2 linked regions of the Daphnia pulex genome follow. The protein of the gene in region 2 purifies or fractionates together with the protein of the main gene of each other region. This does not show direct contact. Links are inferred from orthologs where the notes say so. Each region holds a gene or a part of one and is shown on either strand. Other genes may lie near its edges.

The links.
Region 1: the proteins of kinesin-like protein KIF7 (region 2) and suppressor of fused homolog purify together in Drosophila melanogaster (affinity purification with western blotting; 3 studies listed by BioGRID, with this or other methods). This does not show direct contact. The link is inferred for Daphnia pulex from reciprocal best matches to the Drosophila melanogaster genes cos and Su(fu).

What each region holds. Positions count from the first base shown.
Region 1 is NC_060019.1:8,216,105-8,223,397, reverse strand, and holds suppressor of fused homolog, read right to left. Parts: upstream 4,640-7,293; 5' UTR 4,492-4,639; coding exon 4,274-4,491; intron 4,186-4,273; coding exon 4,093-4,185; intron 4,034-4,092; coding exon 3,620-4,033; intron 3,542-3,619; coding exon 3,453-3,541; intron 3,355-3,452; coding exon 3,060-3,354; intron 2,997-3,059; coding exon 2,789-2,996; intron 2,682-2,788; coding exon 2,610-2,681; 3' UTR 2,319-2,609; downstream 1-2,318. Other genes in the region: zinc finger and BTB domain-containing protein 4-like, read right to left, coding at 1-84; putative inorganic phosphate cotransporter, read left to right, coding at 5,031-5,136, 5,361-5,551, 5,924-6,157, 6,284-6,371, 6,435-6,658, 6,718-6,870, 6,945-7,077, 7,149-7,270.
Region 2 is NC_060028.1:3,195,297-3,202,397, forward strand, and holds the start of kinesin-like protein KIF7, read left to right. Parts: upstream 1-3,330; 5' UTR 3,331-3,534; coding exon 3,535-3,594; intron 3,595-3,677; coding exon 3,678-3,864; intron 3,865-3,946; coding exon 3,947-4,092; intron 4,093-4,177; coding exon 4,178-4,300; intron 4,301-4,380; coding exon 4,381-4,552; intron 4,553-4,619; coding exon 4,620-4,864; intron 4,865-4,948; coding exon 4,949-5,307; intron 5,308-5,370; coding exon 5,371-5,654; intron 5,655-5,714; coding exon 5,715-5,803; intron 5,804-5,884; coding exon 5,885-6,221; intron 6,222-6,321; coding exon 6,322-6,491; intron 6,492-6,563; coding exon 6,564-6,871; intron 6,872-6,948; coding exon 6,949-7,101. UniProt on the Drosophila melanogaster protein: Regulates cubitus interruptus (ci) processing by recruiting multiple kinases to promote its efficient phosphorylation.

The sequences.
Region 1 (7,293 bases), on a different chromosome or scaffold from region 2:
ATACGGGTAACCACCTTTGGGCGGTCGACCCTTTCTCGGGCGCATAATCTGCCCATCGGGACCGATCGCTGCCGCTGCTGGCATTTTATTCACTCGGACCAGAACCAAATCGTCGATTGATTTTGGCTAATAATTAGTCCGCAGAAATCTCAAAATCCGAGAGAGGTAAGCACGTGCCCGATTTCACTTGACACTCACGCACATGGTACACACACCAGCATGTCGGGTGCACCTGCATCCACACACAAAAACACGTTTCTTGTAACCAGAAGAATTTGAAAAATAAAAAATAATTTTTCAAGGGTTTCACTGGCACACACGCTCTCACTGCGCTGGTTGTTGTTGTGTGTGTGTGGAAAAATAAAAATAACGTTTGGCGCCAATCGTAAAAATAGTTTGGGAGTAGGCGACGGCCGCGACCTCACCGCACGGAAAGCTTCAACTAGACTGAAGCTCCTCTAGCGGCACTACTCAGCAAAAGTCTAGTGTGTGAAAAAAGAACCTCCTTCTTTAGGGGGGGGGGGAGGAGGGGCTGAAAAAAAAATCGTCGTCTGTTAACTATCGATAGATATCGCTCACAAAAAGAAATGAAATAAAAAAATGTTTTGGAATAAAAAAGAATTGAAAAATAAATGAAACAAAAAAATTCCAGAATGGGGAAGCCAAAACACGATTAACACACACATGTTTAGTTTTGTTTTTGTTTTTAATTTTTTTTTATCATGTCAGATCTGTTTTTGGGTTATCATTTTCAATAAAAGATGACCTAAGAAATGTGGTGGACACCTGCCGAGTACATTTCCAGTTGTCGCTAAATTAATCTTAAAGTCAGCCAACGAAAAAGTTGCTCACCAGTTGGTCGTCTAAATTTACAATGGCAACAAGACACCTTCTTCTTCTTCTTAAAAGTCTTGCGTTTCGTCTATAACGCGGTTGTGTGTTCTCCCAAGGTTAAGTCTGGCCGACCCGGAGAGACGTGTACTACGTCGGAAAACGGCGAGAATGAGAGAATCGACGGTAAAAACAAGTGGATGGAGGAACGACCAGATGAAAATAAGGATGTCCTGCTGCTGCTGGCCAAAAGGGAGGAGGAGGACCGACCGACTCTACACGCATCTATTTTCAAAAAAAACGAAATGGCGTCGTCTTGTTTTTCTTTTTTTCCACCCGTCAAGTGCGTGTATATGTGCGTCTTTATAAGAGATGAGCGACATGTTTTTTTCTCTCACGACACACAACCCAATTTTCCCTTTTTTGATGGTATGTCCAACATTTTCCCGCGGGATTAAAAAATGCGAAAAACATAAAACAACTTTTTTCTTTTATTTTAAATAAGGAAATTCTTCTTTTCTTACGAGATGATTGGGTGAGAATCAAGTTCATTGTTGACTCTTAAAGTCTGAACGCGTAGAAGAAGAAAAAAAAGGTCGGAGGGGCCCCCGCGTGCCGCCCGCCCCAACCTCCCACTTTCTTTCCACCCCAACGGGAGGAGGTGGCCGCCCTCCTGCCGGGAGTCGGCCATGTTCTCTCCCCCCTCCCTTCTTTCTTTTTCTCTCAGCATCCGCTCTTTTTTCTTCTTCTTCTTCTTCTTCTTTTCCTTCTTCTTCTTCTTCTTCCTTCTTTTCGTTCTTGATAGGCTCTCCCCCTCCCCGTCTGCGTTAAGAGCACCAGGGTTCGTTCGTCTGTACGTGTGTGAGAATCAACTCCCCCTCCTCTTCTTTTTTTTCTCTTCCTTCATCATCGGCGCAGGGTCCAGGGAGACTGGCCCGCCAGTCCGATCGATGCCGTGAACCTTTTTTCTCTTCTTCTTCTTTCTACCCTCATCCGACTTTTTGGCCTTCGTGAAAAAAAAACACAAAATTCCCTTTTAGCTCAGCTGCTAAATGCAAACAACAATGAGTTTTGAAAAGAAATTGTTGTTGCATCACGCTGCTCATTTTCCCCTCCCGAAGGCCAAAAGATGAAAACTAACAAAATATACTCTGCGTCAAAAAAAAGAATTAAAAAAAAAAAGAGATGACCACTGCGCTTTTAATTACGCTTGAGAGGACCCGGCCGCCGCCACCTCCGGTCGCTTTTCCCTGCGTGAGCGGCCGTGTATCCAAAAAAAGCGTCCAACGACTAAAAGGCTGTGCTGGGAGAGGAGAACTTTTTCAAGGATTCGGCTGCTGCCCAGTCCTTTTTTGCACGACAGCCAAAGGCTTTTAAGAAAGAAATAGAAAAAGAGTGTAGACGAAATGAACACACAGATTCGACACCTCGTGTGTGTGTGTGCCTTTTTCTATAAATAGACAAGATTGGAAAAACGCATTTTTGGCAAGTTTTCAACGTCATTATAATTGCAGCAAACACGCAGCTTCCGTCAACATCCGCCCGAGATATTTCGTTTTGTTTTTTTCCAGAGAAAAGGAGATTCACGCAGGTCAGGTTCCATCCCACGCGCGAGCACGAGGAATAATAATAAAGGCACGTGGTTACAGTTTACAATTGTAAAAAAAGAAAAAGAATAGATAAAGAAAAGGGGTGGGAAAAAGAAGGAAAACAACATGAAAAAAAATAAAAGAAGAAAAAAAAGTTGAGAAAGACAAGACTTTTTTTTTATACAGTCGTCATAATTCATCGGGAACTACCGTCAACGCCATCTGTCGGTCGAACCAGCAAAACGTTTTGGGAACCACCACCTTTTTATAAAATAGGGGAGAGAGTAAAAAAAAATTGTTTTGATTATTACACACACAAAATTGGCAATGCATTCGAGATGAATTTCATCAAAAAGAAATATAATCACCCCATCGGGCTGCTGGAGGCAAGCCAAATCAGATTCTAGTTTGGCTAACCACTCGGAATCGACGAGGATCTGAAGCCAAGGACCTTTGGCTACGAGAGGAGCTGACGGTGAAGCCAATGCACCTCCCACTCTGCCCGTCAGGAGCGTCACCGCCGTTTCGCCGGCCACTGCTTTGAAGGTAAAATGCCGATCGTGTCGAAGTCGTCCCCTAATAATAAACAATTTAGAAAATAAGGAAAGACTGACAATGGAAATCAACTGGTAGGGTTACCGAAGAACGACGGGCAGGAGGGAAGCAGCTTCCAAGTTGAGCGTCAAATGGACACCCTTGTAGAGTCGTCGAATGGGCCAGATTTCGCCGTTGATGGTTGGTTCACCGTCGGCCGGTCGATGACGCCCGAGGGTCGCTCCAGCTTCCGGTTCATCTTCTTCGTCATCCTGACTACTAGAGTCGTCCTCAGCTTCCGGACTCCTCCAAGCCGAACCAGTTTTCGAAGTGACTTTTCTCTCCTCCCAGTGGCAGCGAGCGCTGACGCCCGACAACGAGCATCCGTCACGATCGATCCCTAAAAACATGGAAGCAGAATATACATCGGATTCTCTCTCTATAAATAAACTTTTACAAACGGCTCCTGTGAGGAGCGGCGCAACTTTTTCTCCTTACCATGTTCGACTTCGCGGCGGAAGGAGGGCTGCAATTCAAACAGCGATAACTGACGCTGCATGTCGGCAACAAGCCAAGGGCCTCCGGCACTGTGTAAAAATGGGCAAATCAATACAACTTTTTTTGTTGGCTATTCTCTAGAGTTATTGTGAAGCGGGGGATATTACGAGGGAACTCGTCGCAAAAGTTCCAACACGCTAGTTCCATTCCAGTGCTGGGAAACTTGCAACTCTTCCTCCGTAACGGCGACGACTTGCAGAAACTTGACGGAACCTAATGGCCCTTGGACTGGCGGTAACAAAAGATCCTCCGCCAGGAGCATGTGTTGCAAGCGACATTCAAAATCCGATCCGTCCAGAGGACAATGCCAGGAGACGTGGTCACCAGCGAAGAAAGAGTTACCAGTGTGGAAAACATACTTGGCAAGGGCCTGTAACAGAGCTGCTGGCCATGTGGGTGGTGTGGCTTCACCAGACTTTTTGGCTAGGCGGAAAGTCAGCTCAAAACCAAAACCACTGGGAAACTCTGGTCCTGAAGGCTCGTGAACTCTGCCATCACCGTGCAAGTCTGTCAGGCCAAAACTGATGTGAAACGAAATAATCAAGTCGTGCTTGGTAACAATTTAAGTGTCAATGTATACCTGATATAATGCCAATGTGGAGGGATGTGAAGTTCTGGGATTCCAGGATGATCATACATGCTTATATAGTCTAGAGGATCTGGACCACCAAGCCTGTAATTCATAATCAGGGTAAGTATTCGCAGCAATTGGGCACACTCCCAAGTGTTGATCGGACATCAGCAAGGTATCGAGTACTCACCAATATTTGATGAACGCTGTCACTTGCAATGGATTTGGTTGAAGAGGGTACACTTGTTTACATGATTCATACAATATTTCCAATCCCAATGCTGAAGAAGAAAGCATCAATTGTTGACCGTCATTGGGACCAGATTCGGGACCAAAGTTGCTGGCAACACTCGCCACATTTCCCGTTGCACACGTGTTTGCGACGACATGCATTTGTGCTTTCTGCATTGTTGTGTCTTTTATTATCACAATCTACTAATAAATAACAATAAATGTCAATCAACTAAACCAAAACTTCACTCCATTTCCAAACAATTGTGTATAGCAGAGGAATTTTTGTAACAATGCTTCGCCACCAGTTGATTTGGCAGCACTAGTTACTAATGTCATCGTTGATTTTTATCTTTTTAGTGAAATTAAAATTGAAATAAAGAAGACTATCAGGGCAGCCTTATTTTCATTTTTAGGGATAAATAAATTCTATAGTATTATTTACTATACAAATTATACTGACTTTTTAGCTAAGTGAAATTTATTTTTCATCATTCAATCAATAAGAGACATCTAGGAGTAGAGCCACAGGCTATTGCGACGTGTCATCGATCGGTCTGCTAATATTTTTATTTACATTCCAACTATACAAAAAATACCACCCACACGCACACAAAACCTACTCCCGTTCTCTCCTTGCACAATCACACCAATGGCTCATTTCTTTTAAAAGTTTAACATTACCAACCCTCCTTTATTAGTGCAATTTGTGAATAATGGTGCAGCAAACTAGTATCCCAGTAACAGAACAACACGAAGTAGACGAAAATGAAACAGTAAATGAAAAGTTGCGACTCGTTCCCCACGATGACGAAGACCAAGGTATAAAACTGTCGATATAGGAGCATCCTTTACCCGCATGTGCAGGGTTATGTTGTCCTGCATGTTGGTTTCCTTATCTACAAAGGAAACTTCAAGTGACTGCTTTGTTAACCACAGACAATGTTTCTAGGAGTTGTTTTACGAGTGTTTTAATACTTTTCAAACTTCTTGCATTCCTAGATAGAAAATATTACAAAAGAAATACATTTTTCTATTACTAACAGGATGCTGGGGGACTAGACATACCCTAGTCTTGCTAGGATTCTTGGGATTTGCCAATGTCTATGCCATGAGAGTGAATTTGTCCGTGACGATCGTAGCGATGGTCAATCAGAGCGCTATCCCACACATCAATCAAACCGCGGTGGATATCTGCCCAGAGACTCCAGGAGAGAGCCAATCCGGAATAGTAAAGGTAAATGACTCTAAAAAAAATGTCAAACATAATTGCAAAGTCACTAGGGGATCTAAGACTAGTCACCCTACTCGGCCCCTTGTACGCGATGCCCCTGGGTCTTTTCTTCTGAGATGATGGATTGGAAGCTTTCGCTAGACTTTGTTCATCCTTTTCCTGTCTCTCGTATTCTATCTCCCTCGTTCTCTCTGAGAGTTAATCCTGTCACGAGTCTTGGCTTTTTGTATATAGGCACGAAAATGGTCTGGAGCAAATGGCCGCGTGTCTGCAGTCTGGTGCACAGCTTAAGCCCGTCTATTTGTCATTCCCCGTCAAACATAATCCCATGCGAAACTAATGATCTTCAACATTTTTTCTTTTCTTTTTAAAAAGGACGGAGAGTTTGCCTGGGATGAATATAAACAAGGAATCATCCTGGGTTCCTTCTTCTGGGGCTACGTTTTAACGCAGATCCCTGGTGGGAGGTTGGCGGAGCTTTTTGGCGGCCGAAAATTACTTGGTTATGGCATCCTCAGTACTTCACTTTTCACTTTGTTGACGCCGTTCGCCGCTCGAGCAAGCGACACTTTGCTGATCTTCTGTCGAGTCTTGATGGGATTGGGAGAGGTATTACGATATTATTATAAAAAGGCGCTGCTAGTGCGCCACACTGGGAAACAGACATGGTGCCCTCCGCATGCCGAATAAATCCTTAAATCTAGCGAATAATTGACTGTTTCAACATCCATTAAGGGTGTGACGTTCCCGGCGATGTACGCAATGCTTGCCGAATGGGCTCCACCGTGGGAGAGAAGTAAAATGGCCGCTTTCGTTTTCACAGGTACGTTGGATTTTGTATAATGTTCATCGTGAAATTCTTTAAAGTTTATATTCTAATTTCTAGGCGCACAATTTGGGACTGTAATAACACTGCCTCTTTCGGGAATTCTTTGCGAGCACGGATTCGACGGCGGCTGGCCAACAGTGTTTTACGTATTCGGGACTTTGGGTATCGTCTGGTTCGCCGTTTGGATGCCCCTCACTGCTGATTCTCCATCTCGACATCTCAAAATATCCAAAGAGGAGAAAGATTACATTTGCAGTTCTTTGAAAGACTCCATTAAAAGGGTAATTCTTTATTAGTTTTAATCAAAAGTCGACTGGTTGATTTTTGTTCCTTAATATAGAAAAGTGCTCCCGTACCGTGGCGATGCATGTTTAGATCAAAAGCCTGCTGGGCTGTAGGGGCGGCCAATGTTGGTCACGCCTGGGGATTTTACACGCTGTTGACTGAACTACCGAGTTACATGGATAATATTTTACATTTTAACATGAAACAGGTACAAATAAAATTTGAAACAAGGCCAAGTGAAAAAGTCACTTAATCCGTTTGATATTTGAATGAATTTTACAGAATAGTTTCGTGTCCGCTCTTCCCTACTTGGCGATGTGGCTTTTCTCGCTCCTTTGCAGCACAGTCGCAGATATTCTCATTTCCAAACAAATATTTAGAGTTATTACTGTACGGAAGATATTTAATTCTATTGGTAACTATTTTTAAAAACGAGATGTTCAAGTTTAGTTGCGAGATTAATTTCAAATTTTGCAATTATAAAAGGCCAATACGGACCCGCGTTGGCTTTAATTGGTGCTGGATTTATTGGATGTGATACTGTAGCTGCCGTAATTTTACTTACTTTGGCAGTGGGACTTAGTGGTGCTTCTTATTCTGCTTTTCAAGTACATTCTAAAACAAATAATTC
Region 2 (7,101 bases):
AAATACTACAATTTCTGCTTATGTAGATTCAGCAGATGGGATAGCATCGAAAACTTGAGTTTCTTGTCTACCATCTTTAGCCACTTGTTTTCCTTCTTCAGTGAGATCCCAGAGCTCTGAAGAACAGCTACAATTACCTGAGAACCAAATGAATTTAGAAATTGTTGTTCTTTCTACGAAATTACACAAAAATAGTAATTGAAGAACGGAAAGTGACTCTAACCCAGTAATATTGCATCAACTCAGAAATCCATCCTTTATGGAATTATGTGAAATATGGTAGTCGATATGAATTTGGAATATTGAATTCCTACTCTTGTTATCTTGAAGATGTCAACAAAATATTTGGTAGAAAATTTTTGAAACCTGATATTCAAAGGCATAATTTGACATGCTAAACTGGCATTGGCGAAAGAGAAATGATTGTATGTTTGGCTATTTTGTTACACAATACTTAATTATGAATGTTTGGGACAAATAAAACATTTTTGTTGTCATTTATCAAGGAAGCATTTTAAACTTTTCACCATTAACAAGCTAACCATTACGTTTACACTAGAAGATGATAATAGAGGCACCTGTTCATATTTCATGGTAAGTGACAGCTTAAGTTTTTCTACCTCACCTTTGTTTGTTTACTTCCTTTATATCTGTAGTGCTAGACGCTACCGTTATAAGCTCGTGTTGTTTGTTAGCTGGAAAAAACGTGGAAAAGTTGTTGGGTTAAAAAATTTTCTAAGGTTTTTCTATAGATCACAAATTTATCATCTTGCAGTCTTAGTTAAAAATGTTCCGTTGCAAAAATTATGAAAAATGTGGGAAAGCATCCAGAAAAACTACCAGTTCAATTATCATTATAAAAATTGCTTGATCGACAGAGTCTGCCCCATCTGCCTTACACGACCTGTATTCAAATCCGAATCGGGGTTTAAGAGCCATGCAAAAATTCATAAGGTATGATTTTTTATTGTTTACTTTTATTTTTAGTTCTAATTACTTTTGAGGAATTTGACAGTATTAATGTACATTTCTGTTAAATATGGGGGGGGGTCAATAATGTAGGATAATGTTTTTCCTGAAATAATTCGTTGCGGACAAGAAATTGAGTTGCCGGCGGAACAGATTCCATTCAATACGGATGTTGTTTCTGAAGTTGTTGCTCTTGTTGCCGGTGTTGCGGTTGCAGATGCGGCCATTGTTTGCCATGAAGAGGCAGTCAACGAATTTGATTGCGAAGTTGGTGTTAGGGATCTTTGCGATAGATCTTTTTTATGTTTACATGCAATAATGAACCTTATTGTATCTAATTTACCTTATTAATTTACGTTTCAATCAATTGCTTCATCAAGAGCAGCGAAGTTCAAGATGGGGAGGTGTATTTGGCAAAGGTGTCCGACGGAGAATGCGAAAGAAGACCAAATAGAAAAACACTACCGAAATATAGAGGATGGCTACGTTAATCTTGTAAGTAATTTATGGGTAAGTTATTTTTTTTTTGTTTTTGGGTTATTATATTCAATGTTGTGTTTTTATAGGTTTCGAATTACGAGAAATTTGTGGAGAGCACTACCAAGGTCAAGAACAAATTTTGTCAACAAGAAGAGCGTTTTGTGGAACTAAACCAACATCTTGGGGAAATTTTAATCTTTATCGAATTTTAATCTTGATCAACGTCAAGACCTAAGTGATCAGTATTTTATGATAAAACGTTTTTTTATTAACCTTGGAGGGTTGTGATGCTTTACACAAATTTATGGTCGCAAATTATCATTGTCTACGAGCTGATGATTTGTCTGAAGACAATGAATATGTACTGGACTTGGACTTCAGTGTTTCGTCTATACGTCAGTCTAATAGATAGAATTTGTATGAAGTGTTCAACGAAACTGGTATTCAAAAGCGAATGTGGCTTCGATAAATGCACAAGGTATATCTCTTATGTTTTCTTTCATTTTATTATTTTTTACTTGAACAACGTTTCTTATTGTTAACAATTTAGGAATGTACATATCCTCAAATTTTTCACTACGGAATAGGTGATCCTGTTTATATTCCATATGAAAGAACTACTTTTGAACCTCCTGTACTTGTACCTGTATCTGCACTAGAAACTTTGCCTGTTGGAAATTTCAAGGAAGCAGAGGAAGAAGTTTCTTGTATGGATGTTGAAGATGTGGACGATGGCGTAGGGGAAGTAGCTGAAATTGAAGAAGAAGACGTCGTCACCAGTCAACAATTGGAGAATGGCATGGCCAAATTGGTATTTTTTTATTGTTTTTTACTGTGTAATGTCATTATTTCTAATATTAAATTTTTTTAGGTCAACATGTACAATGCTTTTTTCGAACAATCGAGAAAAATGAGTAAGCAGTTCCGCTAAAAGAATGATGACATTCAAAAACTTAAACAGTTTCTTGAAGCTGAAAAGCAAAGGTAATCGTGATTAATTTTTTTCGCAATTTTAATTTCCTAATAATTCCATTTTTTTTTAGATTAATGCAGTGAATGGATGACGAGGAGTGGGAGGTAAAGGCTGTCCTGGACGACGAACAACATGACGGAGTCGAGTATTTTAAAATATGTGTAAGGTGCAAAGCTAAGTAGCAGTTGCCATTAAAAAATGGTAAACTTGGAAATCTAGCCGCTGCGCTTTCTTTTTGAGGTGTTGGTAAAGTGCAGGGTGCAGGTGCAGGTTAGACGGTGGGTAAAGTGCGGAACCCGGAGTGCAGGGTGCGGCGTGCAGGTAGGTGGGTAAAATGCAGGCCCAAATGCTGCTCACAGAAAGTGCAGGTTAGGTTGGTTGAGTGGAGGTTTAGATGTGGCATGAAGTTATTATTTTGACCACTAGGTGGCTGCCATTTTTATATTGAACTTTTTTGGAGTTTTGTATTGAACTTTTTTTGGGTTTTATATTGACTTTTTTGGTTTTTATATTAACTTTTTGTTTTTTATATTACTCTTTTTGGTTTTTATGTAATACTTTTTACCAGTTTTTATATTGAATTTTTTTATTTTTATATTCTTTTCTGTTTTATGTATTGATATTTTGAAAAAAAATTTATATTGAAAAAGTGGCGGTTTTGGGCCCTCATAATTCAGCGCGCAACAGAGTGTAGACAATAAATAAAAAGTACACGCAAATGGATAATAACTGACTGAAGGCAGTCAAACATAAAATTTCACTGCACATTGCACTTTTCCTAACCTGCATTTTAGTGTAGAATTCTAAACCTGTATTTTACCAAGGGAGCCGCTCGGTTGGGGAAAGTGCAGGGCCCCTGCACTCCGGGTTCCGCTTTTTACCCACCGTCCAACCTGCACCTGCACCCTGCACTTTACGGACACCCTTCTTTTTTTGACATTTAAAGTAAAAGGGAAAAGGTGTTGTTGTTTCTGTTTCCTTGAAAATAATAATATACAATTACGTCAGGTGTTGTGTGATCATCTTTTCCTACTGTCAGTTGTGCGATCCGAATTGTTAATTGGTTAATTTATCCAACAAGAACTATTCTTAACTGTATTATCAATGTCGTGATGCTTTTCAGCGCTAGTCAAGACAGGGATTTACAAGCCCGAGTTCAACTCGTAACCCGGGTAAACAAGAACTTTAACCATTTTTTTTTTCATTAAGTAATTGTATTTCAACCCATTGTTCACAATTTTTGAAATTTAACTAGATTCGTTCACTACAAACAACTGATCATGTTTTACCAACACCATATTTTCAAATTGATCCATCCCATGGAACAATTGTGCTGGGAAACAATCGGTTATTTCATTTGGGCAATGTTCTCCCATTTGATTGTCCTCAACAGGCAATATTCAAAGGATATGTCGAGCCAATTGTCAATGCTTGTTTTGATGGTCTGTTAAATAATTTAAGAAAAGAACTGTTATGCAACTTCTTATACTTTTAACGTCATCTTATATGGTATTGGTATGTCAGGTTTCAACATAACTGTAATAGCGTATGGACAAACTGGATCTGGGAAAACATTTACAATATTTGGACCTGGATTGCTCTACACCATGAATGAATCTGATTTTGGTATGGTTCCACGGACTGTTCGTAACTTGTTTTACAAAGCTAAAGTAAACAGTTTGAAGTAATAAATATGTGAAGATTAAATAACTAAATTGGTTTTTGTTTGATATTTTGGGAATTTTTTTTAATTAGGAATACCCCGGAAGACAGATCTCTATCCAAGCAAGCTATTTAGAAATCTATGATGAAGAAATTCATGATCTTCTGAGTATGGAACCCTTTCATGGTGAAATTACTGTACAAGAAGATCAAAATGTATTATTTAAAAAAAAAAAAAATTTAAATGTGAAATTGCTGATAATAGCAATGCTATAATTATTACATATTGAATTTAGGGAGAAATCATCATCACTGGAGCAACACAAATGGAATGTCATACCATTGATGATGTATTTAGCTGTCTTGAAACTGGTCTGGCTTTAAGACATACTGGGCCCATGTTAAATCAACTCTCAAGTAGATCCCATGGAATTTTCACACTCTATATGCAACAGGCATGGACACAAGGTTGACTACTTTTCTTTATTCTTTTGTTGATAATTTTCTCAATGAAACTTGACATATTTTCTTTCAGATGGATGTTTGTATGAAGTGTGTTCTAAACTCCATTTTGTCGACTTGGCTGGATCGGAAAGACTTGGCCTCGGTGTTACCAGTAATCATGGAAACGACGATACACAACTAACAGGATTTCAGGAACCATTTTCCATTAATTCTGGCCTTCTTGCGTTAAGTAATGTCACGGCTGCATTGGGTGATCCTAGAAGAAAAGCTAGCCACGTGCCTTATTGGGATTCGAAATTAACCTACATTCTGAAAGTGTGTTTATTTTGTCAAAAACATTTCTTTTTCACTCTCTCTTTTGGTTACGATCTAACTGTGCATTTAAATTTATTCATGTAGGATTCACTGGGTGGTAATGCCTTCACCTTGATGATTGTGTGCCTTTCTCCTTCGGCTTCTGATTTGGAAGAGACGACGAATACGTTGAAGTTCGCATCAAGGGCAGCAAACATTTGTAATCGCCCAGTAGCGAATGTCCGCCTTACACCGATAGCTAATATTCCTTTGATGGCAATGGGCATAAACGCTCGCCCTTTTAATTTGGCTGGTGTGACGGAACTTGTGTCACCGCCTAACATTCCGCAATTTCAAATGAATGAAACTCCATTTACTTGTCAAGCTAATCCTATGAGGGACAATGAAGAAAATCGATCTGTATATCATGATCCTGAACAAACAGACGGAGATGAAGTTTTTAGGTCAGACTTTTAAATTTATAAATTGAAGCTTTCATTCAGCAATTGCATTTCTCTTTCCCATAGATTACGATTCGCAGCAAGTCAGTGGCAATTACTGGTGACCAACGCCGAAACACTTTTAAATGAGTTGGCTGCATCTGGGTTGCTTGGAAATGACACCAAAAACAAAATAGAATCTTGGCTTTGTTTGAAAGAGGAATACGCAAACTGTATTGATCCCGATTTGTTAACCATCAAACCGCGAAACAGAATTCAGAGTGATACCGATGGCAGTCACCTGACAGACTTGCCTATCACAACAAGCATATTTCACACCAGTGGTGAATCTAAAACACTCCATGTCATTGGTAACTAAATCTTTAGTGTGTGCGTGTGATAGTCGTTTTAACTATTATATTAATTTGTAGAAGAGGTATCCGAGCCCACTCCAACCCGTGAACTTTCTTCTGAACTGAGTAACAGGCATGATCGGTCGTCCATAGACTCGTCATCTGATGTAAGAACGGGAATAATGCAGCATTCTGTTTAACATAAAAAAACGTAAAATGAAAATATCGTATAATTTCTTTCATATTAGGGGTCTCACTTTACGGAGCAACTGGATATATTAAGGCAGCAATTTAGAGAAACAACTGACCGTTTAATCTCAAGCATCGAGTCAATGTATGATAACGCAACGTCTTTAGAATGGGGTGCATCAAATCCTATTGATTTATCTCAACACGCTGAATTTGACCGCGAACAATCAACTAGCAATTATAAAAGTGGGAATACCAGTCCGAAACCTCTAAGAACTGGTCGAAGAGTTAGTATATTCGGTCTTTCAAATGCAGTAGACCAACAGCCTCTAATAGGTGAAACTCGTTTATCAACTCCAGAATCTGTAAATAATGAATCATCATCTAATCATCCAAGTAAGTACTAAGTAGTTGAATCAGTTTTGAATTTTCAACCTATAGTCGATGATATCTTATATTTTTTTAAACACTAAACATCTTTGTTGCTTCTTGGCAGTTGAAGGGAGCCTGAAAGTCGGAGGCGATGCGGAAGACGATGCATGTCGAGAAATGCGACATTCTGCTGAGATTTCAGAAAAACGACAACTCCTTACATGGAAAACGAACAAACAACTTAAAAAAGCTCACCAAACCCTTGAGGAGCTCAAACGGACAGTTTCTTTGAAGGTTAGCTTGCCGATCTGACGTTGATCTCCCCAGTAATTTTTAACTATCTTTATTATTATTTTCTTTTTAAAGGAGGAATATGTGGATTTTACTCGTGACAGCAAAGAAAACGAACAGACAAAAACTCACCAGGAGAAAATTCAGAAATCGCTTAAGCAGGATAGGGTCCCTCATCAATCCGATCTAAATATTCCACCCCGCCATAGGAAACAGTCAGAAGACAACAGTGATGAATGCAGCAGTCCCATCGAACAAGAAAGCGACAACGTCACTGACGGTGAACGAACAATCGGCCAACAGCGGGCTGAGATTATACGCTTTGAACACTGTTTAAAAAACATGGCAGAGTTGCTAGATCTAACTGCGCGGGCTCCTCGGAAGTAATTGCATTTTACATTTGTGAAATTCTATGGATCGTTTGACTCAACTAATGGTACTTTATTTATTCCCATTTTAGAGTTGGCGAACTGGAGCGAAGTCTGTCCATTATGAAGGACCAGCAATCGGTTCTAAAGGAGCAGCTTCGTCAAGAGAACGAGAAGAAAAAAGAGTTGAAACAAGAAATAGAAAAGGATCATGTGCGTATAGTTGAACTTGAACGTCAGCTACA